Linked DNA regions of Anolis sagrei. The protein of the gene in region 3 binds, or shares a complex with, the protein of the main gene of each other region. Links are inferred from orthologs where the notes say so. Each region holds a gene or a part of one and is shown on either strand. Other genes may lie near its edges. The genes, in order: NTS, GRN and SORT1.

Region 1 (10,066 bases), on a different chromosome or scaffold from region 3:
TATATTACTATATTGTACTATACCACTACACTGCAATATTATTAGTAATATTACATGAAATATAAAAATATAATTATTATTATATTATATTATATTGTTATTATTTTATTGTATTACAATATTATGATCAAATATGATCAATAATTCAAATATGTGAGAATAATTGGAATTATACAAATGTTTATATCTTTTTAGAACCTTTTTTGCCCTGGATAGGAGCATTCTTTTTTTTCAGTTAGATATAACCCAAAATATAATTTGGAAATAAACATCAGATATGGGTTCACACAGGATTTGTAAATCCAACTGGATTAAAAAGGACTTGTCGTGTAACTGTACAGGATTACGGCTTTTGACTTTAGAGAATCAGTTTTCTCTAGTATTTAACACATACATACATACATACTTAGATTTTACATTGCACACACATTTTTATTTTGAATCATGTACTATACAGTTTTACCTGGATACAGGGATCCTGAATCAGAACTATAGAGGTTTTTTCCCCCTTCTCTAAATTCTTCCATGAACTATTTCAGAAATAGTAATAAGTATCTCTGGAACTCATGTAAATTCCTCATACCACTTATTTTAATATTTTGAAAAACCATGTTGGAAAATATGCCATAAAACAATATTTTATAAGATAAAATTCAGATTTTTTTTGAAATAATTATGTTTTTATTCTTTAAAATCCAAGAGATTCAACATAGCATGATGAAATGACTCTGGAAGATGGCTGGATGGCCATCTGTCAGGGGTGATTTGAATGTGATTCTCCTGCCTTTTGACAGGGGGTTGGACTGGATGGCCCATGAGGTCTCTTCCAACTCTAGGATTCTATGATTTTAAGACCAGAGTCTGCAATCCTCAGGTATAATGGAGAATCAGGATCAAGTAAAACTCTCTCATCCTTAGAAGAAGGCAATGGCAAACTTCTCTACATAAATCTGACCAAGAGAATACAATTGACAGTAAACCAGAATTGACACGAAGGCTTATAACAATAACAATAACAAGTAAAACTGGTTTCAGTTATGAAACATGGCCTGAGGAGGAGGGATTAAATGAAATTTAAGGAAATACTTCTTTTTTCCTTTTTTCAGATAATCTGCTTATATATTGATTCACACCTTGAATTTTGGATGTACTTTTAGAATAACTGTAAACATTGACTTTCATATGAAATAGAGACCACTGTTGGATGTTAAGTCTGAACAGATCAACATTTTGCTCTTTTAAGAAATATTGTATATAGTTTGAGATAAGAAATTCTCCTAGATTTTGAACCTTTCTCCATCTTAGGACCACATCACACTAGAGAATGAATCCATTTTAAATCTGGTTGTTGTCTCCTGTGGACTTCTGGGGTTTGTAGTTTAGAGAGGAGCCTTTAACAGCCTCACTAAACTACAAACCCCAGAATTCTGCAGGAGGCAGAAACCAGATTTAAAGTGGATTCATTCTCTAGTGTCATGAAGTAGTAAGAATCAACAACATATTCTCACAATTATTTCTCCAAACAGTCTCTAAAGAAGATCTCTACCATTACTCCAGTCTACTGATGGGGAAAAAAAACCTGTCATAAAAACAAGCTTGTAGTGCTGTGCCACAAAGCAGGTTTCAAAAATGCGCCTATTGCTTTTTTTTTATGCCAGGAGTGACTTGAGAATCTGCAAGTCGCTTCTGTTGTGAGAGAATTGGCCGTCTGCAAGGACATTACCCAGGGGATGGCCGGATGTTTTACCATTCTTGTGGAAGGCTCATCTCATGTTCCTGCATGGGGAGCTGGAGCTGACAGAGGGAGCTTGTCCACCCTCTCCCCAGATTCAAACTTCCGACCTGTCGGTCTTCAGTCCTGCTGGCTTAACCCTATTGGACCACTGGGGGCTCCGGTCACCTATTGCTAATCTCATGATATGTCAGGTGTGGTCTGGAACAGTGATATTCAAAGTGTTCTGTGAACTGACTCCAGTAAGCTAGTGACTGCCATGCCCTGTGTTCAGGAGGGGGGAAACAGCTATAGTTAATGGAGATAAATATGGCACTAATCCCTGGCACACAAGTGTTTCTCCCACACCAGACAAGAAGTGCCAGTCTAGACCACAAAGGAGTACAGTATTGGGTGATTTGCAGGAAACTTTCTTATTCTCAATGAGTTAACAAAAGCAATGATAGCTCTAAAAAGCTATAGTTTTGCCATGGTTAATGCTGACCTTTTTGCCATGGTTGTTGTCAGGTTTTTTGATCCCTGGCACACAAGTGTCTCTCCCACATCAGACGGCTTAAGAAGCACTGGGCTAGACCACAAAGGAGTACAGGATTGGGTGATTTGCAGGAGCCTTTCTGGTTCTCAATGAGTTAACAAAAGCAATGATAGCTCTAAAAAGCTATAGTTTTTCCCATGGTTCATGCTATCCATTTTGCCATGGTTATTATAAGGTTTTTCAGCTTTTCTTATACATTGGTTGTCTCTGACCAGAACTTTTGGCAGCTCATGTTCATTGGGTCCTGAGTTTATGACTCCATGAGCATTTTGCTGGAGTCCCTGGTTGCTCAATGGGTTAAACCCCTGTGCCACCAGGGACTGATGATCGAAAGGTCGGTGGTTTGAATTTGGTGAGTGGGGTGAGCTCCCTCTGTTAGCTCCAGCTTCTCATACAAGAACATGAGATTAGCCTTCCACAGAATGGTAAAACATCTGGGTGTCCACTGGGCAATGTCCTTGCAAACAGCCAATTCTCTCACACCAGAAGCGACTTGCAGTTCCTCAAGTTGCTCCTGACATGGAAAAAAAGCCTTTTGTTCATTCATTAAAATGACCCAATTTGATCCAAATTAGTACAGCCCACATATATTTTGGCACAGTGAAAAATATACCACAATTTTCCAGACAGTTCGGTCCATTGGGCAGTGGATTGGACTCTTGTTCCTACATCACACTAGAGAATGAATCCACTTTAAATCCGGTTTCTGCCTGCAGCAGAATTCTGGGGTTTGTAGTTTAGGGAGGCTGTTAAAGGCTCCTCCCTGAGCTACAAACTCAGAATTCTGCAGGAGGCAGAAACCGAATTTAAAGTGGATTCATTCTCTAGTGTGAGGAGGTCTGGAATCCCTTCCAACTCCATGGCTTTACTCATTCCTATAATGCTCTTTCTTAATGGAGCCCACATGGCATTTAAGGTGACACAGCCAAAGCAGAAGCCTCCTTCCAAAAGATGGACGTGAAGGGAACTCTTCTATTAGCTTAAAGGTGAATCTTAAAAAGTCAGCCAGGCAATGGGTGCGGGGGTTTTTTCAAACGATACCCATACAACATATATAACTTAGAACCTGTCAAATCTGAGTTGCTTAGAAGCCTTCTCCAAAGCCAAGCAGGAACTCCTAACTTTTGAAAGTGACCCTCCAGGTCCCAACTCCTCCCTTTGGAAAGGACTACCAGGGCTGCCTCATCCTAGGTGGAGTTTGGTTCTCACGGGCTTCGCCTGAGAGAGCCAGGCTGCCTAAACCGAGGAGGCGCCGCTTGCTTACCTGCGCACACGCTCCAGGAGGCGAAGGCAAGCAGCATCGCGCACGCCAGCTGCATCCTCAGCATCCTCGTCGCCATCCTCCTCTCTCCTTCTAGAAGGCAAAGTCCATGCAAGAAGGGGCGTGCGAGCGGCAGAGAGGGAGGCCAATCGGCCAGGAAGTTTGGAGAGAGGAAGAGAGGGAGGCAGAGGCGGGCGGAGGAGCGCGCCAAGATCGGGCTCTTGCCTTCTCCCTTTCCGAGCGCCTGGAGCTGCTTCCTGAAGGTCTGGACCATAAGGGCAGCCCTGGACCAGTCCCGGAGTATATAAGGGAGCGGGCGACTGATGTCACGGAGGCGCCGCAGCCACTGTCGTTGGATGCAACGCCTCCTCCCCCCTCCCCTCCCCTCCCCTCCCCTCCCCTCCGGGAGCCTCTTTCGGGGGGAAACTGACGCGGTTCCCTAATTGCGAGGCGTGATTTCGCGCTTCTTGACGCAAAGACCGAGGAAGGAAAGCGGGGGGAAAGGGGTCAGAGACAAAGAGAAGGACAAAACAGGAAAAAAAATGGGGGAGAAAAGAGGGAACAGAAAGTTCGCACTGCAACCTCTCCCCTCCCCAACTGAATGCAGTTTGGCACCACTTTAAACTGCCATTGCTCAGTGGTATGGGATGATTAGTCTTTCCTGCCAGAGTGCTAGTGTTTCAACAGATTGCAGCCCAAAGGATTCCTTACCATTGAGCCACAGGAGTTGAATTGGTGTCAAACCCCATTCATTCTTTTTTTGGTCATGTCAGGAGTGACCTGAGAAACTGCAAGTCGCTTCTGGTGTGAGAGGATTGGCTGTCTGCAAAGACGTTGCCCAGGGGACGCCCGGATATTTTTTAAAAATAATCTTTATTGAAAGTTTTCATTAAAATACATATTATATGGAGCCCCCGGTAGTGCAGTGGGTTAAAGCACTGAGCTGCTGAGCTTGTTGACCGAAAGGCCGCAGGTTCGAATCCGAGGAGCGGTATGAGCGTCCACTGTCAGCCCCAGCTTCTGCCAACCTAGCAGTTCGAAAACATGCAAATGTGAGTAGATCAATAAGTACTGCTCCGGCGGAAAGGTAATGGCACTCCATGCAGTCATGCCGGCCACGTGACCTTGGAGGTGTCTACAGACAACGCCAGCTCTTCAGCTTAGAAATGGAGATGAGCACCACACCCCAGAGTCGGACACAACTGTACTTCATGTCAGGGGAAAACCTTTACCCTTGACCTTCCATATTATATAGAAGCTTCAATCATAATTTAAAAGAAAAGGGAAAAGAAAAGAAACAAACAAGGAAAGAGAATGGGGAAGATTGAAACGATAAAATAAAACAAGGGAAAAAATAATGAAAAGAAACCATCAACCAAATAGATTTCAGTCCCAACTTCCTGAGTATCCTCTGTGAGGTATCTTCTTTTTCTTTCTTTCCTTTCCATCTTGTTTATCCTTCTCCCTTCCTTTCGTCTGGTCTCTCTCTCTCTCTCTTATGTTATGTTATATTAATATCATACAGTTTTGTGTTTTAAGTATTCTGTAACTTTTGTCCAATCTGTTTCTTTTATCGGCTTTCCTTTATTTTTAGACATCAAGTAGGAAAGTCTGTCCATATTTCTTATGTCAAGTATCTTTTCCAACCAAGCTTCTTCTTCTGGTATCTTATGTATCTCTGGATGCCCAGATGTTTTTGATGTGTTACCATCCTTGTGGGAGGCTTCTCTCATGTCCCCACATGGAGAGCTGGAGCTAATAGAGGGAGCTCATCCATGCACTCCCCGGATTCAAACCTCTAACCTGTTGGTCTCCAGTCCTGCCGGCACAGGGGTTTAACCCACTGCACCACCAGGGGCTCCCATTCATTCTATAGTGTAGATGTGCCCATAGTTTTCCGGTGTGCTTGCGTGTGTATTAGAAGTGTGTGTGTGTGTGTATCCATCCCTTGATGCACTTTCTCCCATCCCTTAGTGAAGGTTAACCACACTGTTCACCCTTCTGAGTTCTCCTCCCAGATACACATTACTCCATTTATCTAATCTCACTTGTTTAGATATCAGCCAGTATTCCAACGACTTGAATCAAGAAATAGTTTTCTAAGATCTACAGAGACACTCGCTGGAACACCTCAGCAAGCGAGAGTCCAGAAGTGGCAGGCTAAAACCCAGAACCTCAATCAACAGCTGATACCAAATGAGAGACTCCCTTCTGGGCACACAGAAAACTGAGCGACTTGGAAGGCATTAAACAGACTTCTGTCTGGCATCACGAGATGCAGAACCAACCTTAAGAAATGGGGCTACAAAGTGGAATCCACGACATGCGAGTGTGGAGAAGAGCAAACCACAGACCACCTACTACAATGCAATCTGAGCCCTGCCTCAAAGGACATTTAATAGAATGCCAAGTTTGCAAGCTTTTGCAGTTTGGTTTGCTCCTGACACGATAAATAAATAAAATAAATCTCACCCAGGGCTTTATCAATTTTATCTTGTGCATTTGGCCCACCCACTGTGTTTTTATTCTTCTACTATTTTATTTTGTGTTGTTTATTGTGTATTTGCTATTGATTGTATTTTTCTTTGTTATTATTATTTGCTGATGTATTTTACTTTGCTGTATTGTAATCCTTGGGCTTGGCCTCATGTTAGCCATCCTGAGTTCCTTTGGGGAGATGGCAGAGTATAAATAAAGTTTATTGTTGTTGTTGTTGTTGTTGTTAAGTTCAAACATGAGGGCTAACATATGAGAGCATGTATTTCTATGTGTCTTTCAATATTAAACCTAAACCGGGTCAACCCTGCGTTGTCAAAGGCTTTCCTGACCGGATTCACTAGGTTGCTGTGAGTTTTCCAGGTTGTATGGCCAAGTTCCAGAAGCATTCACCTGACATTTCACCCACATCTATTGCAGCCATTCTCAGAGGTTGAGGGTTCTGTTGGAAACTAGGCAAGTTTATGTATTTATTTATTATTTGTGGTATTTATATACTGCCCTTCTCAACCCTGAAGGGGATTCAGGGCAATTCAATGCCATTGATTAAAAATTAGTATAAAACATCAAAATTGACCACCCCTGATAAAACATTAAACATTATTAAACACATCACATAAAATAACATCACATTATCACACAAAGACATAGCCATTGTTTCCAGCAGATGCCTCAACCTCTGTGGATGCCTGCCATAGATGTGGGTGAAACATCAGGAGAGAATGCTTCTGGAACATGGCCATACAGCCCAGAAAACTCACAGCAACCCATGCTCAAGCCTGGTTAGTATTTGGGTACCAAGTGACATACATTATGCAATGGGCCCTCTGTATCAAAGGGTTCTGCATCCTGGAATTCAACCATCCATGGCTTGAAATTGTTCCAGAAAGCAAATTCAAATTTTACTATTTTATGTAAGGGGCACTGTTTTCTAACCCCTTGAATATAATGGGAGTTGAGCATCCATGGGGTCCTGGAACCAAACTCCATCATTGTATTTCTAAAAAAGGAACTGAGCTGAGGAAACTTTACCAAATGAATGGGGTCACCTTGACCTAACAGGTGGCTTGAAGCTGTTTATTTCTGTTGTTTATTTATATATCATGTCAGAAGTGAATTGAGAATACAGTTATAACGTATAGAACAGGGGTTCTCAACCTGTGGGTCCCCCAGGTGTTTTGGCCTACAACTCCCAGAAATCCTAGTTAGTTTACCAGCTGTTGGGATTTCTGAGAGTTGAATGCCAAAACATCTGGGGACCCACAGGTTGAGAACCACCATTATAGAAAAAAATAGCATTATACTAAATGTACTTTGACCAGTAGCTGACCACTTGGAATGCCTTTGGTGTTGCTATAAGAAGGTCATCTATAGTGTATGTGGCAGGGCTAAGACTGCGCTGTAGCAAGTGGTTCATGGTTTGCTCTTCTGTGCACTTGCATGTCCTGGACTCTACTTTATAGTCCCATGCCTTAAGATTGGCTCTGTGTCTCTTGGTACAAGAGCACAGTCTGTTCAGTGCCTTCCAAGTCGCCCAGTCTTCCATGTGCCCAGGAGGAAGTTTCTCATCTGGTATCAGCCACTGATTGAGGTTCCGAGTTTTAACCTGCCACTTTTGGACTCTCACTTGCTGAGGTGTTCCTGTATCTCTGTAGATCTTGGGAAGCTATTTCTTGATTTAAGACATTGGCTTGATGGCTGATATCAGATGTTGTTGTATGGAGTCAATTCATTGGCTGATTTATGGCAAGGGCAACCCAAAAAATGAATAAATTACTACATATGCACCAGGGCAATTTTACAGATAATGTAAGCATTTTGAGAAGTTGTTTCTGGTTTTGAATAACATTGTGGTGTTTCAGCTCAGCCTCCTTCCCTTCTCTTTTTATCAGCACATCATGTGGGCTAGGCTGAGCTACATTGACTGACCCAAGCCGCCTTTTTGAGTATGATTTGAACCCAGGTCTGCTCGGTTTAAATCTTCATTCTCACTGGTTAGATTACAACACTCTTTCCATTGAATTACAATGAAGAAGTGTCAGGTACAAAAATTGACTAGGCAAGGAATTAACTGTGGATCTTGAATGGACACACACATCACTACACAACATTGCATTAATTCAGTAAGAATGGCACATGGTCTGTGCATTCTCAGATAAGGTTATTTTCAGTCCGTTTATAGAAAGTCACCTTATTTTGGGGAGGGGTGTATTTAAGAAAAGGGAAGGAGGTAAAAAGCATGAGGTTCATGCTGGCACAAAATATATCTTGTAAGCCAGTTCTCAAATGCCTATGTGTGTGTTCTAATTAGTGGATATGTGTTCTAATTAGTGGATAAGCAGATCTTCCTACCTTTTCTCAACTGTCCTCACATATCTATTATCTTGCTGTGTGCCTATCTGAGGATTTAGAGGGCTTTCTTCTGTGTTTCATCAATGAATTTAATACATTGTATGAGGATGTGGGAGAGGGCTTTCTCAGCAGTGACACTGCAACTATGACATACCCTTCCATTGGAAGACTGATTGGCATCAATGCTGATTTGTGATTTCATTGAGGTACCAAGTAGAATCATGATTAAAGCATTTGAGCCTCAAATAATTTCCTCAAAATGTTAATGCACATACATGATTTGAAATTATGTTATCTTATTAATTGTATTTTATTTATTATGTTTTAGATTACTTATGTTATTGTTTCAAAATAGTTCAACTCATTTGCATTGATTTTATTTACATGCTGCTATAAAGGCATTTGATATTAGGGCCTAAATATACAGATCTTGTCTGATCTTGGAAGTTAAGGAGAGTCAACTCTGGTTAGTACTTAGATGAGAGACTGTCAATGAATACCAAATGTTGTAGGCTATATATCAATGGAAGAAACTGGCAAAACTGCCTAAGAAAATCCTGTGAAACTCATGGGGTTGCTGTATATTGGTAGGCAACTTGAAGGCACATATAAACAGAGAAGTATTTTAATCTATCTATCTATCTACACATAATAAAAATGAAAATGTATATGTGTATATGTAGCGGAGGTATCCACTTACACAGATAGCCTCCCGCCTCCACAAACACCTATAATCTACAGTGCTGAGGAGCCACCAAAAGCACTCCCTGCTATGACATTGCAGGTTATAGTGAGGGCAAACACCCCAGTGTTCCTTTCCATTGGTGTGGAATTTGCATGACCCCGGCACTGTCTCTCCCTTAAACCTTTCCTACCCTTTTCTATGGCACACATCAAACAGAGGAATTATCAGCAACTGAACATACTAGAGGGTGATGGGAGAGTGGCTCAACAGGATGGAAGCTGTAGTTTACCCTGCATCAAGACACAGCACTGTGACCCCAACTTACAATGGCCCTGGACCACATTTGGCACACAGAACCCCCATGACCAGGTGTCCAGAGAGCACTGATTACAGCCGAGAACTGATCTGGACCAAATTTGGCACACAGAACCCTGGTGACCAACATAACATACTGGAGGTATGGGGAGGGGGAATGGCCCAACCGAATGGAAGTTGTAGTTCACCCTTCATCCAGAGATATTACTATACTTCCCAAAACAAACAATGACTTTTTCAAATCACCTGGGCACCACCAGTTCCCCAAGATAAAATAAAGGTACACTAGTATTCAACAATGACCCTGGAACCAGGCCTGTAGCGAGGGGGGGGGGTAGGGGTTCAACTCCCCCCCCCCTGAAATTTTTCAGGTTAAAAAAATAAACCTGGTTTACTTATGATTTTTAACTGGTTAACCAAATCCCCATGCTAAGTCTATGAGATGCAAAAAAATTAAGAGTCCCTCCAGAACTGCAAGCACTATCTCAAGCAAATATTGACAATTTATTCACACTGTCATTACTTGCAGCAATAGCTGATGTAGCGTAGCAACCAAGTTGGGGGGGGGGGGAGTGTTGAATGCTCTCATTAAGGAGGCCAGACTTGGTGGAGGTGGTTGACAGGGGCGGAGCTGCAGGCTATTGAAGGCTGCTCTGCCCCCTGCTGTGCTCTTTGCTTCTGTGTGAGCTA
Region 2 (9,788 bases), on a different chromosome or scaffold from region 3:
ATGCCTGCTCGGACCCCTGGCCTTTGACCTGTGGGGTCCCGCAAGGCTCCATTTTATCTCCCATGCTTTTTAACATCTACATGAAACCGCTGGGAGAGGTCATCCGGAGTTTTGGAGTTGGGTGCCATCTCTACGCAGATGACACACAACTCTACTACTCTTTTCCACCTAATTCCAAGGAGGCCTCTCGGGTGCTGGACGAGTGCCTGGCCGCTGTGTCTATCTGGATGAGGACGAACAAGCTGAAGATCAATCCCGACAAGACAGAGGTCCTCCTGGTTGATCGCAAACCAGACCGGGGTATAGGGTGGCAACCTGTGTTGGACGGGGTTACACTCCCCCTGAAGCCACAGGTCCGCAGCTTGGGAGTCCTCTTGGATTCATCGCTCACGCTTGAGGCTCAGGCGTCGGCGGTGTCCGGGGGGGCTTTTGCACAACTGAGACTTGTGCGCCAGCTGCGCCCGTACCTCGCGAAGGCTGATCTGGCCGGGGTGGTCCATGCCTTAGTCACCTCTAGATTGGACTACTGCAATGCGCTCTACGTAGGGCTGCCCTTAAAAACGGCTCGGAAATTTCAACTGGTCCAACGGGCAGCAGCCAGGATGCTAACCGGGGCCCCCTACAGAGAGAGGTCAACCCCCCTGTTTAGGGAGCTCCACTGGCTGCCATTTATCTTCCGAGCCCAATTTAAGGTGCAGGTGCTTACCTACAAAGCCCTGAACGGTTTGGGACCATCCTACCTACGAGACCGCATCACAGTCTACGAACCCACACGCTCGCTCCGGTCATCAGGAGAGGCCCTGCTCGTGATCCCACCCGCCTCACAGGCGCGTTTGGTGGGGACGCGGGACAGGGCCTTCTCTGTGGTGGCCCCCCGCCTCTGGAATGCCCTCCCGAAAGATCTCAGACAGGCCCCCACCCTGGCGGTCTTTAGAAAAAACCTGAAAACCTGGCTATTCCAACGTGCCTTCTCAGATTAGGAATCCCCACTATCAAAGCCCAGAAGCACTTTAGTAGAGCCAAGATCACTTTCAACGCACACCGTACTTATATCTTAATCTTATATCCCTCCGACACTTTTTTCAGCACTTTTAACCCTGTACCCCACCCCAGCCGGCTCAGTTTTTTAAATAACGTCCTGTTGTATTGTTATTGCCTTTGTTTTCTGCTTTAACTGTTTTATTTTGTTTTATTTTGCTATGTATTGTATTGTTGTATTGTGTTGTGCTGGGCTTCGGCCTGTTGTAAGCCGCATCGAATCCCTTGGGAGATGCTAGCGGGGTACAAATAAAGTTTAATAATAATAATAATAATATTAGAGACAACGTTGAAGTACTTTGGCCACATCATGAGAAGGCAGGAAAGCCTAGAGAAGACAATGATGCTGGGGGAAAGGGAAGGAAAAAGGAAGAGGGGCCGACCAAGGGCAAGATGGATGGATGGTATCCTTGAAGTGACTGGATTGACCTTGAAGGAGCTGGGGGCGGTGACAGCCAACAGGGAGCTCTGGCGTGGGCTGGTCCATGAGGTCACAAAGAGCCGGAAGCGACTGAACGAATAAACAACAACACACTGAGGAATTAATGCAGTTTGATACCACTTATAATTGCCAAGGCTCAATGCTATGCAATCCTGCATACTTTTCGGCAGAGATAACTGAAGATAACAGTTCCTATGGTTCTACAGCATTGGCAGTTAAAGTAGTTCCAAACTGCATTAATTCCATCGCGTAGATGCCGCCAACCATAACAACACAGATCAGTTCCATCTAACCCAGGGGGCATCTACACTGTAGAGTTAATGCAGTTTGGTACCACTTTAACTGTGAGGAATCAGTTTGGTGAGGCACCAGCACTCCTTGGCAGAAAAGGCTAAAGAATGACCTTGTAAATTCTACAATACCCATAACTCCATAGTATTGTCATGGCAGTTAAAGTGGTATCAAACTGCTTTAATTCTACAGTGTAGATGCATTCTGGAAGCCAGGAAATGAGAAAGCAGGAGTCCCTAGCTGGCTATACTTCAAATCTCTCACTGAACAGGAAGGCATTTGTTGCCTATCATGGCTGATATATCTATATAAATAAAAATTGTAATGTTCGTTTGTGGGATTAACATAACTCAAAAACCACTGGACGAATTGACACCAAATTTGGACACAAGATACCTATCAGGCCAACGAGTGACAATCACTCAAAAAATTGATTTTGTCATTTGGGAGTTGTAGTTGCTGGGCTTTATAGTTAACCTACAATCAAAGAGCATTCTGAACTCCACCAATGAGGGAATTGAACCAAACGTGGCACACAGGACTCCCATGATCAACAGAAAACACTAGAAGGTTTTGATGAGCATTGACCTTGAATTTGGGAGTTGTAGTTCACCTCCATCCAGCGAGCACTGTGGACTCAAACAATGATGGATCTGGACCAAACTTGGCACGAATATTCCATATGCCCAAATGTGAGCACAGATGGAGTTTGGGGAAAAGAGAACTTGACATTTGGGATTTGTAGTTACTGGGATTTATAGTTCACCTACAATCAAAGAGCATTCTGAACCCCACGAATGACAGAATTGGGGCAAACTTCCCACACAGAACCCCCATGACCAACAGAAAATACTTATGGCCATCCAGTCCAACTCCCTTCACCAGGGCAAGAAAAAATAATCAAAGCCCTCCTGACAAAGAGCCATCCAGCTATAGATATATATATGATTCACAGAGAGAGATATAGTATCATAGATTTGAAAGGAACCCCTAAAGAAGGACAATTCTATGTTGCATGTTCCAGGGTGGGCAAACCAGATAATCTCCACATCAACACTGACAAAGAAACAGCAAGAAATACTAGGTTCTTGTGGGTTTTTTTCGGGCTATATGGCCACGTTCTAGAGGCATTTTCTCCTGACATTTCGCCTGCATCTATGGCAAGCATCCTCAGAGGTAGTGAGGTCTGTTGGAGTTTGGAACATGGGTTTATATTTCTGTGGAATGACTGGGGTTGGACAAAGAGCTCTTCTCTGCTGGAGCTAGGTGTGAATGTTTCAACTGACCGTCTTCATTAGCATTTGAAGGCCTGGCTGAGCCTGGGGGAATCAAAATCTGGCTACCAGTATTTAAAAAAACTAAAATTACAACAGCAAAACAGCAGAGAGGAAACAACCAGGCACATCTTAACACCTCTCAACAAAAGATTCCCCCAGGCTCAGCTAGGCCTTCAAATGCTCATTGGTCAGTTGAAACATGACCAGTCAGTTGAAACATGACCAAGGTGGTCAGTTGAAACATTCACACCTAGCTCCAGCAGAGAAGAGCACTTTGCCCCACCCCAGTCATTCCACAGATATATAAATAAACCCATTTTCCAAACTCCAACAGACCTCACTACCTCTGAGGATGCTTGCCATAGATGCAGGCGAAACGTCAGGAGAAAATGCCTCTAGAACATGGCCATATAGCCCGAAAAAACCCACAAGAACCTAGTGATTCCAGCCATGAAAGCCTTCGACAATACAGCAAAAATACTGTTTATCCACAAGTATAAATAAATTACATATATTAGGAACCAACACTTTCTCATTACTTTATTTTCCAGATCACCAGACTGGGCCACAGCAACGCATGGCAGGGGACAGCTAGTTATTATTATTATTATTATTATTATTATTACTCTATCATTACTACAACTATTATTATGATGATTATTATTATAATTTCTACTACAACTACTATCATCATCATCATCATTACTTTGATCTATATGCCGCTTTTGCTCTCTTAACTAAACTCAAAACGCCTAACAGTGATTTTGAAAAGTATTCTATACAATTCCAATGTAAACACAACTCACCCAGGCTTTCCCACTGCAGCCAGTTCCAACCCGCTAATGCACAGACTGGCTCAGAGAATGCACTCTCTTCCTACCGCAAGGGGATTGGTTGTTTTTCCCCAGGGGGGCGTGGCGTAGGTAGGTAGAACGCCGGTTCCTCGTATTTGATTGGCTGGTTCGCAGCTTGGGCCCATCCTACCGCAGTGGGTCTTGGCAGAGGCGATCATATGACCCTCTTTCTCAATTTTTCAAAGGCGCGCATGATCTCCTCGGGTTGGGAAGGATCGCACGTGACAGAAGGGAAGAAAAGAAAAAAGAGGGGTCAGGCCAGGCATTAAACCCGGAAGTGGTAACCGAGAAGGGTGTCTCTGAGTGCATGCAGAGGGCAGGGAAAATGGCTTGGTTTTGTTTTTTTAAATCACACTTTCCAGAATCCTTGTCAACATTGTGGTAATTGTAGTCCCCCCCCCCCCCCAAAAGTCACTTTCCAGGCTACACTGTGGAATTAATTCGGTTTGACACCACTTTAATGCTGTGGAATCATAGGATTATTGTTTTCTAGTACTCTAATAAGGCTCCAAATTGGCCTAAAACAGAGGGAGGCTAAAATGATCAAGGGTCTGGAGAACAAGCCCTATGAGGAGCGGCTTAAGGAGCTCAGCATGTTTAGCCCTATTCTGCCTTGGTTAGACCACATCTGGAATATTGTGTTCAATTCTGGGCACCACAAATGAAGAGGGGTGTTGACAAGCTGGAATGTGTCCAGAGGAGGGTAACTAAAGTGATCAAGGGTCTGGAGAACAAGCCCTATAAGGAGCGGCTTAAAGAGCTCAGCATGTTTAGCCCTCTTCTGCCTTGGTTCGACCACACCTGGAATATTGTGTCCTATCCTGGGCACCACAATTGAAGAGGGGTGTTGACAAGCTGGAATGTGACTAAAATGATCAAGGGTCTGGAGAACAAGCCCTATGAGAAGCGGCTTAAAGAGCTGGGCATGTTTAGCCCTGTTCTGCCTTGGTTGGACCACACCTGGAATATTGTGTCCAATCCTGGGCACCACAATTGAAGAGGGGTGTTGACAAGCTGGAATGTGTCCAGAGGAGGGCAACTAAAATGATCAAGGGTCTGGAGAACAAGCCCTATGAGGAGCGGCTTAAAGAGCTAGGCATGTTTAGCCCTATTCTGCCTTGGTTAGACCACACCTGGAATATTGTGTCCAATTCTGGGCACCACAATTGAAGTGGGATGACAAGCTGGAACGTGTCAAGAGGAGGGCGGCTAAAAATGATCAAGGGTCTGGAGGACAAGCCCTATGAGGAGCGGCTTAAAGAGCTCAGCATGTTTAGCCCTGTTCTGCCTTGGTTAGACCACACCTGGAATATTGTGTCCAATTCTGGGCACCACAATTGAAGAGGGGTGTTGAGGGTGACTAAAATGATCAAGGGTCTGGAGAACAAGCCCTATGAGGAGCGGCTTAAAGAGCCAGGCATGTTTAGCCCTATTCTGCCTTGGTTAGACCACACCTGGACTATTGTGTCCAATTCTGGGCACCACAATTGAAGAGGGGTGTTGAGGGTGACTAAAATGATCAAGGGTCTGGAGAACAAGCCCTATGAGGAGCGGCTTAAAGAGCCGGGCATGTTTAGCCCTAGTCTGCCTTGGTTAGACCACACCTGGAATATTGTGTCCAATTCTGGGCACCACAATTGAAGAGGGATGTTGACAAGCTGGAACGTGCCCAGAGGAGGGCAACTAAAGTGATCAAGGGTCTGGAGAACAAGCTATATGAGGAGCGGCTTAAAGAGCTCAGCATGTTTAGCCCTATTCTGCCTTGGTTAGACCACACCTGGACAACTGTGTCCAATTCTGGGCAGCACAATTGAAGAGGGGTGTTGACAAGCTGGAATGTGTCCAGAGGAGGGCGATTAAAAATGATCAATGGTCTGGAGAACAAGCCCTATGAGGAGCGGCTTAAAGAGCTGGGCATGTTTAGCCCTATTCTGCCTTGGTTAGACCACACCTGGACAACTGTGTCCAATTCTGGGCACCACAATTGAAGAGAGATGTTGACAAGCTGGAATGTGTCTAGAGGAGGGTGACTAAAAATGATCAAGGGTCTGGAGAACAAGCCCTATGAGGAGCGGCTTAAAGAGCTGGGCATGTTTAGCCCTATTCTGCCTTGGTTAGACCACACCTGAAATATTGTGTCCAATTCTGGGTACCACAATTGATGATATATATTGACAAGCTGGAATGTGTCCAGAGGAGGGCGACTAAAATGATCAAGAGTCTGGAGAACAAGCCCAATTGAATTGATTTAATGTTTTTGTCTATATGTAATTATTGTGTTTTATTATATGTATATAAGGGCATCGAATCTTTGCCGGCTGTAAGCCGCACTGAGTCCCCCCCTGAATTATTATTTTTATTTTATTGAGAAGGGTGGGGTATAAATATTTGAAATAATAAAATAATAAAATAATTCAAGATGCATCCAAAGTCATTCCATCCATTCTTCCTTATCCTTATAGTCTCTGGTAAGAAGAAAAAAGGATGCAAATGCTGGGAAAGAAATTGAAAAGTTACAATTTCTCCTTCCCTTTTAAAAACAAGCCATATAACAGTAAAACTTCATGCAGAGTTGCCTTTCAACTCCTTCAAAGCACCAGAATGTTCTGATAAGATTATTCCTGCCTTCTCAGTTCCTCCTTCTGCGACTTATTCTTCTTTTCCAAGGTCAAAAACAATTCTGCCTGCAAAAGATCAAGTCAAAACAGGCGTGGAGTCGTCCTGGTTTCATTGCTGTATTGCTACACCCCATTCAGTCTTTGTTTTGCTTTTGGCTGAGCATAGCCAAAGCAGCTCTTTTTAGTGTTCTTAGTATTGCTTGTAGCCTTGGCTGTTAATGATTGAAACAACCTTTATAGTGGTCTAATTACAGTCTTAGGATGCATCTATACTGTAGGTTTAATGCAGTTTGATACAACTGGCATGGCTCAATGTTATGGAGTAATGGAAGTTGTAGTTTGGGAGCTTTTTTTGGCAGAGAATAATAATAATAACAATTATTATTATTATTATTATTATTATAAAGATAATAATAATAATAATAATAATAATAATAATAATAATAATAATGAGTTGTTGTAGGTTTTTTCGGGCTATATGGCCATGTTCTAGAGGCATTTTCTCCTGACGTTTCGCCTGCATCTATGGCAAGCATCCTCAGAGGTAGTGAGGTCTGTTGGAAGTAGGAAAATGGGTTTATATATCTGTGGAATGACCAGGGTGGGACAAAGGACCTTTGTCTGCTGGAGCTAGGTGTGAATGTTTCAACTGACCACCTTGATTAGCATTTAATGGCTTGGAAGTGCCTGGGGGGAATCTTTCGTTGGGAGTGATTTGATGTGCCTGATTGTTTACTCTCTGCTGTTTTGCCCAAAAATCCAATACAGAAAAATAAAATACAAAACAACAATAAATTAAATCATAATAAAATACATAATGAACAAGATAAAATAAACAATGCAAAATAACATAATAGAAAGTCAAACACAATGGGCGGGCCAAATGCACGAGATAAAATGATAAAACCCTGGATGAGATAGGAGTGGGGGGGAAAGTGTATTTGTGAAGGAGTGTATTAATGATGGAAGAGCCCAAAAAGACAATCAGTGGGGTTCAGCCTTTCGTTAAGGACGGAGGAAAGTGCATCATGAGGACAAAACTGTAGATGGAATAAACAAAAATGGGATGTATGGTCACTCTCCAAAGATAACATCGGAAAAGCCAAGTTTTCAAACCTTTCTTAAAGGCTGCTAAGGTGGGGCTTGACTAATCTCACTAGGTAGCGAGTTACAAAACCGGGGGGCCATGGGGGAGAAGGCTCTCTCCCTTGTTCCCACAGGTTGTAACTATGATAGAGGAAGGGACGAAAGGAGGGCCTCCCCAGAGGATCTAAGGGATCGTGGAGGTTGGTGGTAGGAAATGTGGTCACAAAGATAGGCGGGTCCCAAACTGTTAAGGGCTTTATAGGTGATAACCTGCACCTTGAATTTGGACCAAAAAATGAACGGCAGCCAATGGAGCTCCTTAAACGGAGGTTGGCCACTCCCTATAATTTGCCCCAGTTAGTAATCTAGCTGCCGAACTTTTGGACCAATTGGAGTTTCAAGGCCATCTTCAAGGGAAGCCCCATGTAGAGTGCATTGCAATAGTCCAATCTAGAGGTAACTAAGGCATGGACCACCGTGGTCAAGTCAGACTTCAGAAGGTATGGCTGCAACTGGTACACAAGCTTTAATTGTGCGAAGGCTCTCCCAGCCACCACCGACACCTGCGCATCAAGCGTCAACGCTGAGTCCAGGAGGACCCCCAAGCTGCGGACTTGTGTCTTCAGGGGGAGTGCAACCCCATCCAGCACAGGTTGCCCCCCTATACCCCGGTCAGACTTACCACTGACCTGAAGGACCTCTGTCTTGTTGGGATTAATCTTCAGCTTGTTCGCCCTCATCCAGATCGTCACAGAATCCAGGCACTGGTTCAGCACCCGAGGGGCTTCATTGGATTCTGGTGGGAAAGAGTTGTAGAGTTGGGTGTCATCTGCATAGAGATGGCACCAAAACTCCAGATTACCTCACCCAGTTGTTTCATGTAGATGTTTAAGAGCATGGGGGACAGAATGGAACCTCGCGGGACCCCACAGGTCAACAGCCAGAGGTCCAAGCAGGTGTCTCCCAACTTCACCAACTGGGAGCGACCCTCCAGGAAGGACCGGGCCCACAGCAGGACTGTACCCCCAAGTCCCATCCCGGTGTGTCATTCCAGAAGGATACCATGATCAATGGTATCAAAAGGCACTGAGATGTCCAAGAGAACCAGCAGGGTCACATTCCCCCTGTCCAGTTCTCTGCAGAGGTCATCCACTAAGGTGAGAAGAAGGCTTAGATACCTTCTGAAACTGCTAGCCCTATGATTCCATAGCATTGGGCCACAATTTATTTATTTATTTAGTATATTTGTATACCGCCTCTCTCATGTCTTAAGATTCTTCCGAAATGATAGGAGCGAAGAAGCCGATCTAGTCTCCCTAGGAAGGGCGTTCCATATCTGAGGGGCCACCACTGAGAAGGCCCTGTCTCTTTTCCCCGCCAGCCATACTTGTGATGATGGCGGGACTGAGAGCAGGGCCTCTCCAGATGATCTTAAAGTCCTCGCAGGTTTGTAAGAGGAGATTCTTTTGGACAGGTAAGTTGGGCCAGAACTGTTTAGGGCTTTATAGGCTAAAGCCAGCACTTTGAATTGTACCCGGTAGCAGACTGGCAGCCAGTGGAGCTGGCGCAACAGAGGAGTTGTATAATCCATGAGAGCTGCTCCAGTTAGCAATCTAGCTGCCATCCATTGGACCAATTGAAGCTTCCGAACAGTCTTCAAAGGCAACCCCACATAGAGAGCGTTGCAGTAGTCTATACAGGATGTAACCAGAGCGTGGACTACCGTGGCCAAGTCAGACTTCCCAAAGACGCAGCTGGCGCAAAAGCTTTAACTGTGCGAATGCTCCCTTGGTCACTGCCAAGACCTGGGGTTCCAGGCTCAGCAATGAGTCCAGGATCACACCCAGACTGCGAACCTGTGTCTTCAGGGGGAGTGTGACTCCATCCAACACAGGCTGTAACCCTATGCCCTGTTCGGCCTTACAACTGACCAGGAGTACCTCTCTCTTGTCAGTTTCAATTTGTTAGCCCTCATCCAGATCGTCACAGCGACCAAGCACCGGTTAAGGACCTGAACACAACAGTTAAAAGAGGTATTAAATAGCATTCAATCTACAGTGTAGATCAGGGGTCCTCAAACTTTTTAAACAGAGGGCCAGGCCACAGTCCCTCAAACTGATGGAGGGCCGGAATATAATTTGGAAAAAAAATGAATTCCTATGCACACTGCACATATCTTATT
Region 3 (10,833 bases):
CCACAGCTAATTACTATTAATTGTATTAATTGAATTTATGTGTGGTGTAGTGGTTTGGCCATTGGACAGAAGATGTATCTACACTGCAGCATTGATGCAGTTTAGACATCACTTTAACTGCCAGGGCTCAATGTTATGGCATCATGGGACTTGTAGTTTTACAAGATCTTTAGCCTTCTCTCTCCTAGAACACATCAAACTCAGGGTCCTACAGCATTGAGCCATGGCAATTAAACAGTGTGTCAAACTACATTAATTCTACAGGGTAAATGCACTTTAAGACACTGGGGACCAGGGTTTCAATCCCCACTCAGCCATGGGAACCCACTGGCTGACCCTGAGCATGTCACACACTCTCAGCCTCAAGGTCGCCAAATAACCTGGAAGCACACAACAAGAACAGCAACATTCAGGAAGCAACATTATGAACACCACTTGCAATTCAAAAGTGTTTATTATGCCATCCCTAAATCAATTTTCAGCAGCTCTATAGAAATATAGCACTCTAAAATTGTAGATCACTTGCATGCTGGGTGGATTCAGGTGAACTCCCCTGCCTTGTCACTAAATGCTGACAATCAAGCGAAACTAGTCTGAAGGTATTTCCTATAGAATGGCCTTCACAATCCATGCTCACTGGACAAGACATGTTTTGCCAACATGTCCAACAAACACTGGCTGTAAAACACAATGGGAGTTGAACACTCAGAAAAGCTAGGTAACCTGAGCAACCAAAATTTAGATTTGTGCACACCTATCCTGTAGCAGCTGGCTTCCTCACTTGCCAGTCACATCCAACGAATTCCAGAGTCTCGCTACTTTAGGATAAGCCATTCACATGAAAGCCAATAGTGCCCATCGGCTTTTAACACAAAACACAGGCTAATGAAGACAGTGGTAAGCTCAAAACCAGTTCATATCCCTCTAAGTGCCAGTAATCCTCAGAATGGATAAAGAAAATCTTTTCAGGGTGAACTAGATGTCACACACTGAGATCTTTTGCATTTTTAAATGCTTCTAACCAGCTCTGAGGGTGCATATACACTGCAGAAGCAATACAATTTCACATCACTTTAACTGCCTTGGTTCAATGTTATGGAATCCTGGGAGTTGTTAGGTGAGTTTCTTTGGCAGACAAAGACGAAGACATTGTAAAACTAGAGCTCCTAGGATTCCATAATACTGAGTCATGGCAGTTAAGGTGTTTTTGTTTGTTTGTTTGTTTGTATTTTGTCGTGTCAGGAGCAAGTCGCTTCTGATGTGAGAGAATTGGCCGTCTGCAAGGACGTTGCCCAGGGGACACCTGGATGATTTGATGTCTTTATCATCCTTGTGGGAGGCTTCTCTCATGTCCCCGCATGAGGAGCTGGAGCTGATAGAGGGAGCTCATCCGCCTCTCCCCGGATTCAAACCTGCGACCTGTCGGTCTTCAGTCCTGCCGGCACAGGGGTTTAACCCACTGCGCCACCGGGGGCTCCTCAGTTAAGGTGGTGTCAATCTGCATTACTTGTACAGTGTTGGTGCACCCTATGGCTGAAAAGCTAACTAGGTTGGAGAACTCTGCCATTCCCTCAATTTAAATGCACATTCCTGTTGGCTTCCTAGGAAGAATAGCACTCAAGTGCCAAAGAGTGTCAGTCTGTCTTGACTTAGCTCCAAAGTCATTATATTCCCTGGCTCTGAAGGTGTGGCTCTTCCCCATTCTTTCCTCACAAGTACGTCAGGCTGTCCACTCAAAAGCGTACATGCTTATTTGTGTCGCATATTACCAATGTTTAATTCTTGCAGTGAGCGCCACTTGGGTTCAAACCTTATCTGAGCAATGCAAGTCACCTGGCCTAGGAAACCTGTCAGCTGATTCAAGAGGAATAGGCACTGAATATCTTCTTTTTTTGTGCCAGGAGCAACTTGAGAAACTGCAAGTTTCTTATGGCATGAGAGAATTGGCCACCTGCAAGGACATTGCCCAGGGGATGCTCGGATGTTTTACCATCCTGTGGGAGGCTTCTCTCATGTCCCCACATGAGAAGCAGGAGCTGACAGACGGTAGCTCACCCTGCTCCCCGGATTCGAACTGCAGACCTTTCGGTCAGCAGTCCTGCCGGCACAAGGGTTTAACCCATTGTGCCTGGATGTTCTACCATCCTGTGGGAGCCTTCTCTCATGTCCCCCATGAGAAGCTGGAGCTGACAAATGGGAGCTCACCTCGCTCCTTGGATTCGAACCGCAGACCTGTCAATCAGCAGTTCTGCCAGCACAAGGGTTTAACCCATTGCACCACAGGGAGCTCCTACCGAATGTCTAATGTGTATCTTTTGTTGTATTTTGTGTTCCTTAAGGAAGCTTCTGGGACTGAGAGTGGATGATTTACCCAGAATCACCCCAGAAGATTTCCATGAACAAGTGGGGATTCTAATCCAGATCTCTAGAATTGTAGGGTGTATCCACACTGTCTAATTAATGCGGTTTAACACTACTAAAAACCGATTTTAATGCCATGGCTCAATACAGCTTGAAGCCACTTAAACTGCCGTGGAATTGTGGGAGTTTGTACTTTGGTGAGACATCAACCCTCTTTGCCAGTGAAGACTCAAGCTGTCGTAAAACTACAACTCCCATCATTTGATAGCACTGAGCCATGTCAGTTGAAATGGTTTCAGATTGTATCCATTCAACACTGCAGGTGCACCCATAGACGATTGCTGAAACTCCTATGCCATACTTGAAGTGACAGAGAGATTATTAAGAGGCATTCTGCACATGCTCAGAGACAGCATCTTCCTTGTCACTCTCAAGCTGAATTGAATGTGCATCTATATCAGTTATGGGCAAACTTGGGCCTTCTGGGTGTTTTGGACTTCAACTCCCATCATTCCTAATAACCTCAGGCCTGTTCCTTTTCCCCCTCAGCCGCTTAAGGAAGGGACCTGAGGTTGTTAGGAATGATGGGAGTTGAAGTCCAAAACACCCAGAGGGCCCAAGTTTGCCTATAACTGATCTACACTGTTGAATTAATGCAGTTTGTCACCACATTGAACTGATACAACTCAATCCTAGGATGTATAGTTCATATATATTTATATACAATAATATTATAATGTAGTACAATAATATAATAATCTATATATAAAAAATGCTCTGTGCATAATGAGTTCCTTAAAAACAAAAGAACCAATGGACGAAATCACACCAAATTTGGCAACAAAACATCTCACAACACAAGAAATGGCCATCACTCAAAAAGTATGAATTTGTCATTTGGGAGTTGTAGTTGCTGGGATTTATAGTTCACCTACAATCAAAGAGCATTCTGAACTCCATCAACGAGGGAATTGAACCAAACTTGGCACCAGAACTCCCATGACCAACAGACAACACTAGAAGGGTTTGGTGGGCATTGACCTTGAGTTTGGGAGTTGTTGTTCACCTACATCCAGAGAGCACTGTGAACTCAAACAATGATCGATCTGGACCAAACTTGGCATGAGCACTCAATACGCCCAAATATGAACACAGGTGGAGTTTGGGGGAAGTAGACCTTGACATTTGGGAGTTGTAGTCACTGGGATTCACAGTTCACCTACAATCAGAGCATTCTGAACCCCACGAACGACAGAATCGGGGCAAACTTCCCACACAGAACCCCATGACCAACAGAAAATACTTAAGGCCATCCAATCCAACTCCCTTCATGAGGGCAAGAAAATATAATCAAAGTCGTCCTGACAAAGAGCCATCCAGACATAGATATAGATAGATTGATATGATTCACACACAGAGCGAGATATAGTGTTATAGATTTGAAAGGGACCCCTAAAGAAGGACAATTCTATGTCGCATGTTCCAGAGTAGGCAAACCAGACACTCTCCACATCAACACCGACATAGAAACAACAAGGAATACTGTTTACCCTCAAGCATAAAGGAATTACATATATTAGAAACCATTACTTTATTTTCCAGATCACCAGACTGGGCCACAGCAACGCGTGGCAGGGGACGGCTAGCATATTATAATATAGTTGATAATATTATAATGTAATACAATATAATACTAATAATAATACAATATAATAATTATATATTTCATATTACATGTCATATTACTAATAATATTACAGTATACTGGTATAGTACAATATGGGAATGCATGTTACTAATATGGTGCTATGTAAATAATATAATATATTGTATTTACATATAACTTGTAAGCCGCTCTGAGTCCCCTTTGGGGTGAGGTGGACGGCATATAAATGTCGTAAATAAATAAATAAATATAGAGACCGCGAAGGAAGCTCAAGACCTTGTGAAACTACAATTCCCAGGCTGCCATAACTTTGAGCCATGGCATTTAAAGCGGTATCAAAGCAAACCCTGGGATTTGTGGTTTGTGGCCTCTCTGGCAGAGAAGACCCAAGACCCTGTGAATAGTAATTCCTTAGATTTCATAGCCTTGAGGCAGGGCAGCTGCAGCGGTGTCGAACCGCGTTAATTCTTAAGTGTAGACGCCCCTTTGAAGGACACCACAGAACGGAAGGCACCGAAGTCTCATGCTCTTCAGGCCCGTCTCCCCCACCCTTGCCTCCCGCTCACCTTGTGGGTGTTGTTGCTCAGCGCCTCCAAGGAGAAGCCTCCGTCCCGCGGGCCGCATTCCGCCTCAGGCCGGCCCTCCTGGGCCCCCCGCCGGGCCCGCAGCCTCCCCTCCCCGAACCGGAGCTCCCGTCCGCCAAGCAGCGCCGGCGCCCCCGCCAAGAGCAGCAGCAAGACCCCGACCCGCGCCAAACTCGCCCGCTCCATCTCCGCCGCCGCCGCTCACAACAACAATCGCTAGGAAACTCTCTCCTCAAGCTTCAGGGGCGGGCCCGTCCCGCCCACCCGCGCCCTCATTGGCCCAAGCCGACCAGGTATGTCAACGTCACTGGCTGCCGGAAACGCCAATCTCACCCACCTTCGATCAACAACCTGCCTCTCTTGGTAGCTTCTCCCCCATTCGTCCAACGCTCCCGGCTTCTTTTTTCTCATTGGGTTAACGCCTTGTCCGTTTCCGCACTGCAGTCGTTGATTGGCTCCCCGCGGCAAGAGCCTCCCCCCGTCAGATTCTCTAGCTGGGCAGCATCACCCCACTTTGAAGAGCACCTTGCCCATTGGCTAATTGCCTACCAGCGTTGTCCCTTTGCTGATCCTCGGAGTAATCCTAAAACATCCTCGAGGCCGTGCCCTGATTGGCTGCAGTGCAAGGACACGAAGTCCACGAGAGGCTAGAGGAGAACCTACACCGTACATCTAATGCAGTTTGACATCACCTTAACTGCCATGGCTCAATGAGATGGACTCTTAGGGGTTATACTTTTACAAGATCTTGAACCATGTCTGCCATAGCATTAAGCCATAGCAGTTGAAGTGGTGTCAAACTGCATTAATTCTACAGTGTAGATGCACCTCTGAAGATGGATTGAAGTCTAGACACACAATTCATGTGTTTGACATACACATAGCCAGATGATTGTATTATTTGTGTGCTTCATATACACATACGGAGCCCCCAGTGGCACAATGGGTTAAACCCATGTGTAGGCAGTATTGCTGACCGAAAGATCGGCGGTTTGAATCCAGGGAAGAGGGTGAGCTCCAGTCTGTCAGCTCCTGCTTCTCATGCAGGGACATGAGAGAAGCCTCCCATAGGATGGTATAAACATTTGGGTGTCACCTGGGCAGCGTCCTTGCTGACAGCCAATTCTCACACACCAGAAGCAACTTGCAGGTTCTCAAGTCGCTCCTGACACAAAAGAAAAATGTACACATAGCCTGATGATTGTTTTATACAGTATTATTTTGTGCATGGACATTTTTTTGTGTATATTGAACCATCACTATCTCAGCCATCCTTGTAGACCATTTTAGGTTTGGGAGCTATTTGCAGTTTCAGACAAGGAATACTCAGGTTGTATTCTGAATGTTAGACTTGTCAATATACACTGGCAAAGGAAAAATGATTTTGAGAAGAAATTGATACACAGCAAAGCTATCAGTCAAATCTCTGAACCTTTCTCTTCAGTTGAATCAGCTTGCTGTAGGGACACCCTAAGGGTTTCACAAGGTTAACAATTGTTCCCTTTATATCAACTGCACAACTGATTATATTAAACAGGGTCTCAGCACAATTGTGATAAATCAAATGATCATTTTCTGCCACATTTCCTACAAAATTGTGAAAATTCTTGGCTCACTTCCCACTTCACCATCCCAATCTGCAAAGTAAGTTGGAATGTATGTGCGCCTGGGGTTAATGCAGTTTAACCCCACATTTAACTTCCATGGCTGCTCTGAGTCTCCTATAAGACAGCAAAGATGGATAATTTTATTGAATCATCAGGAGCTGCAACTTACAAGGTCTTTAACCTACTCTATCCAAGAGTGTTAATGCCTCACCAAACAACAAATCCCAGGATTCCATAGTATTGTGCCACAACAGTCAAAATAATGTCAAATTGCATTAATTGTTTAATAAGATGCACCCTCAGGAAATTTCATGGTTGTGAAAGGATCTCAGCCTGTATCAGTCCAAATTCCAGTGTGTATAACACAGTCTCTCTGATATAGTTACTTAGGTAACTTATCTTTATTCAGGATTGTAGGAAATATTTTTCTTGAGCCAACCACTAGTTCAGCCCTGCACCTTAATTTTTACAAATAAAATAGCAGACAGTCAATAATCAATCCTATTGAAGAACATGTCCAGTTTGATCCTCATCTATTCCATGAATAGTAAAAAGGGGTTTTGTTTTACAAATAAGGGCATGCTGCCATGTTGGAATATTGCCATCTGTCAGAAAGAGGAAAGGAAGCCCCTATATACACATACATACATACATACATACATACATATTTATGCCATTGTGGAAGGGTTTTTGGCTTGGATGGTGGAAAATTAAAAAGGCCAAGAACTGAGCAATTTGAACTGGCCATTTAAAAATAATAATAAAGAATGCACACAAATGGAAATCTACAGGCAATGCAACCAGTTGAGTAAACTGGCAGTGGTTTTATGGGTGTCTCAATGTTAGGTGCAACACTAATGGAAGCACTGAAGTTCAAACAGGAAACTGAACCAAAAGGTTGCAACATGAAACTGTTGGGGATGGGGAAAAGGAAACATAATGGCATGCAACACAAATTAGATGTTGAAATAATGTATATACACTGCAGTGACATTGACAAAAATTATCTACTGAAGATAGATCATTATTAGAAAATAGCCCAAGAAACTGCTGAAAGCTTCCTCAACCTGGGACCCTCCTATTTTGTTGAATGTTTTTTTCCCGTGTCAGGAGCGACTTGAGAAACTGCAAGTCGCTTCTGGTGTGAGAATTGGCCGCCTGCAAGGACGCTGCCCAGGTAACGCTTGGATATTTTGATGTTTTACTATCCTTGTAGGAGGCTTCTCTCATGTCCCCACATGGAGAGCTGGAGCCGACAGAGGGAGCTCATCCGTGCTGTCCCCAGATTCGAACCTCCGACCTGTCAGTTTTCAGTCCTGCTGGCACAAGGGTTTAACCCATTGTGCCACCGGAAGCTTCTTTTTGTTGAATTAGACTTCTATTACCAAATTAATATAATCCCAAACCAAAGTCCTGTTCAAGAGACAGAAGTAGCCCCACTATTATAGTACTATATTCCTCGATGTATTTTAACCATATTAGATAATCTTCTAGCTTGACAAAGTAGGATATAGATAAAATATTTTTAATAGAAGAAAGGTTTGTTGTTTTTGAAAAAAGAATTCTAAATTGTTCCTGAAAACAGTATTACCAGAATAAACTGAAACAAGCTTCCCAAAAGAAAGAAAACAACTTGCCATAATCTCTGGCAATCTTTGCAAACATTCTAGAAGGGACAACACGGCTCCTTCCGAAATTAGCTGAGGAACAGCTTGATCTCTGGGAAACTGCCCCATAAGCAATAAAAATCCTGTGGGCCACTGAGTGTAATCTTTATCAGGACCAAGTGTTTAAGTTGGCTGGGGAAACCAACAGGCAACTAAGCAAGATCACCACTTTGATTACCAGTTTCTTAGCTTTTATATTTATAAAGTCTATAATTATGTGATTAAAACAAAAAGGCTGGCTAAGATTACTCTGGAATAATAACATCCTTCCAAAGAGCCAGCTTTTAGGAAGCTGCTATTTTTCAAAATACCACCATTTTGAAACTTTGTGGGTTATTCAGGATATTCAAGAAATTTGCTGGTTTCTAGCTGCAGCTAATGCAAAATCCAGACATTAATCTTAAAACATAATTTGAACTTGTAATTATTTTGTGCAGGTTATCCACATAACAATTATCAACAGACCAACTGTATTTAAATCTCCATTAGGAAACAGCAGCTGGCAAGTTTGAAATGATAACCACCATTCCCTAGTGATTATTGCCAATAAATACAGGGTGGGACAGCTCTTACTAGAACAAATAAGAAAATAAAACATTAATACATATCCGATTTGGTATACATTTTTCCCCTGAGATGTTTACATAACATCAGCTATGACCACTATATATATACAGGGTGTTCCAGAAATGTATACACCCTTTATCAACTAATTGTAGCAATTATTTGAAGGCTAAGTAAATACACTTATATTGAAGAATAAATGTTATAAAGATTTAACCAGGATTACATAACCCATCTTAAATTATTATTTTATGTAGAGTTCATATTGTCTCTGCTTGCATTGTTGAAGCATGGAGTTGCAAACTTCATTTAAAAGTTTAACTTTGTGATTTCACAATAATTTTCTAGGGTAGGGAGAAACCAAAAACAATCCTTGAATTATAAATTGTTTTGGCTTTGCACATTTTTGGGATTAGATACAGAAAACCCTCAAGGAAGTTTGTGGCCTGTTTGTATTACAACACATACTAAGAGCCAGAGTGGTATCGTTGACTGAGTATTGGATTAGGACAATGGGAAACAGGGTTCAAATATTTGATCTGCCATAGAAATTCACTGGGTGATGTTGACAGGTCATACTCCCCAGCCTCAAAAGGCAAGGGAAAAGCTCTGAATATTTTCAGCCACAAAACCCCTGTGATAGGTTAGCCTTAGGGTCACCATGACTCAGAAATGACTTGAAGGCAAACAATAGCATGCTGATGCAGAACCTGTACAAACAAAGGCAGCATACCAGTTCATGTCTAATTCAGTAACAGGAATATGTACCCTATAACTCAGTGGTTCTTAAGGTGTGGGCGGCAGACCACCAATGGGCCACGAGGACAAAAACCTGATCCGTGAGCCTCCTTCCTCATTATTTATTTTTCTCCCACTCTTCTTGCTCCGCCTGCTACTCCTTCCCTGTCGCTGACCATGGAAACTGGAGCTGATGTGGTTTATCCAAAGCAATTTTCTGAATCAGCCCCCCAAACGAAATCTAAAGTTGACCAAAACCTGTTTCATAACCCTTTTGGCACTAATGCTGGAGTGTGGTCCCTGGTCAAAAAAAGGTTGGGAACCACTGCTATAACTGATTCAGAAAAATCAGTACCAAAGAAAAATATGTACTATCTTATGGAGGATGGGCATCATACAACACTCCAGAGGTTGTTAGGACTGCAATTTCTGTCATTCCAGCCATCACAGCCAATTGCGTGGAATGAGTTACAGTACACTATGTGGAAGACCTCATGATGTCTTGTTGCAGACATATGTCATTTCCTCAAAATAAAAGATGCACAATATAATGTATTTGTGAGTTTTGAAAACAAGCAGGAACCCATCAGAGATCTTCCCTACAGTTATTTTTTAGCTATTTAAAGTGTTTGGATTTGAACAGTGGGATACACAGATATACTTTTTCTGATGCTATGACAGATATGATAAGATTTGTATAATTTTCTAATAACTCAAAGACCAACATGAATACATACAGCTTTTAACATTTGGAATTGGCTGGTTTGTAGCAATCAAGAAGGACTTGCTTTTACTGCTCAAATAAGAATGGAACAAAGTCTTGTTTTTTTAGTTTGCTCACATGGTAGCTGGTACTACCAACTGTATTTAAAAGAGAACATAAAAAGCCTTTGTCTTACATGTTAGAGATCCTTTTTTTGTACAAACTAAACAAAGTCTAGATGAAATAAAAACCATTCTATGCTTTCAAAGAACTCTTCATATCATTTCCTATAAATTTAAAACACCTCTATTCTCACTGAAGAATGCATTACACCAGCTTAATCTAGGATCACATTTGCTTTACAATTTACTTCCCCTGAGCTTTTGTTTCAAAGGAACACTATACATTTAATGCAAACTTAAATCGCAGTGGATCCATTCTTACAGGTAATAGAAGGCACTAATGGATAAGCTCATTGCTATATGTTAGGTGGTACCTAGCCCAACATGGGACGTTTTTCTGCTTATTGCTCATTACACCCAATAACATTTGCTTAGTGAAAACACAGCCAATGGACATACACCCCTTATTTCTGTGTTAACCTTTACAATACCCCCATATATGTCTTTTCTAGCTGATAACAAAACATTATTGAGAACATTTTTGTAGCATTAAAGATGTCTGCCTACCGTTCGGATGAGGCAAACAATTCATTACTTTCTTCAACAAGTACATTCTATATGATTTCCCATCACCAATTTTTCAACAAAAGGAAGAATCCTGCATTTGTCTGGGTTCATTCACCGATTGTTTCGGAATAAATGAAATCGTTTACTTACATGTTTGAGAAACTGCTATAGACTTTTATCCCTTTTATTACAAACATCTGACCTCAAGCTATATCGTTAAAGGTTATTGATATGAATGAAACGGGATATGACAC

What was found.
Region 1: the proteins of SORT1 (region 3) and NTS are in contact, whole or in part, in a crystal structure (PDB 4PO7), measured with the Homo sapiens proteins. The link is inferred for Anolis sagrei from reciprocal best matches to the Homo sapiens genes SORT1 and NTS. Residues at the interface, in NP_002950.3 of Homo sapiens: Val112, Ser113, Leu114, Ser115, Trp116, Lys260, Tyr304, Ser305, Phe306, Gly307, Leu308, Phe314, Ser316, Arg325, Ile327, Phe350, Tyr351, Ser352, Ile353, Tyr395, Gly399, Thr570, Gly571, Leu572, Ala573, Trp586, Trp597; in NP_006174.1 of Homo sapiens: Leu152, Tyr153, Glu154, Asn155, Pro160, Tyr161, Ile162, Leu163.
Region 2: the proteins of SORT1 (region 3) and GRN are in contact, whole or in part, in a crystal structure (PDB 8T8S), measured with the Homo sapiens proteins. The link is inferred for Anolis sagrei from reciprocal best matches to the Homo sapiens genes SORT1 and GRN. Residues at the interface, in NP_002950.3 of Homo sapiens: Leu108, Gly110, Ser111, Val112, Ser113, Leu114, Ile174, Gly175, Pro176, Lys260, Tyr304, Ser305, Phe306, Gly307, Leu308, Phe314, Ala315, Ser316, Arg325, Ile327, Phe350, Tyr351, Ser352, Ile353, Leu354, Tyr395, Thr398, Gly399, Thr402, Phe404; in NP_002078.1 of Homo sapiens: Pro578, Arg579, Trp580, Asp581, Ala582, Pro583, Arg585, Arg590, Gln591, Leu592, Leu593.

The regions. Positions count from the first base shown.
Region 1 is NC_090025.1:151,525,877-151,535,942, reverse strand, and holds the start of NTS (neurotensin/neuromedin N), read right to left. Parts: upstream 3,862-10,066; 5' UTR 3,803-3,861; coding exon 3,532-3,802; intron 1-3,531. UniProt on the Homo sapiens protein: Neurotensin may play an endocrine or paracrine role in the regulation of fat metabolism. It causes contraction of smooth muscle.
Region 2 is NC_090026.1:47,777,435-47,787,222, forward strand, and holds the start of GRN (progranulin), read right to left. Parts: upstream 3,937-9,788; 5' UTR 3,855-3,936; intron 1-3,854. UniProt on the Homo sapiens protein: Secreted protein that acts as a key regulator of lysosomal function and as a growth factor involved in inflammation, wound healing and cell proliferation. Regulates protein trafficking to lysosomes, and also the activity of lysosomal enzymes.
Region 3 is NC_090024.1:184,772,487-184,783,319, reverse strand, and holds the start of SORT1 (sortilin), read right to left. Parts: upstream 4,869-10,833; 5' UTR 4,798-4,868; coding exon 4,594-4,797; intron 1-4,593.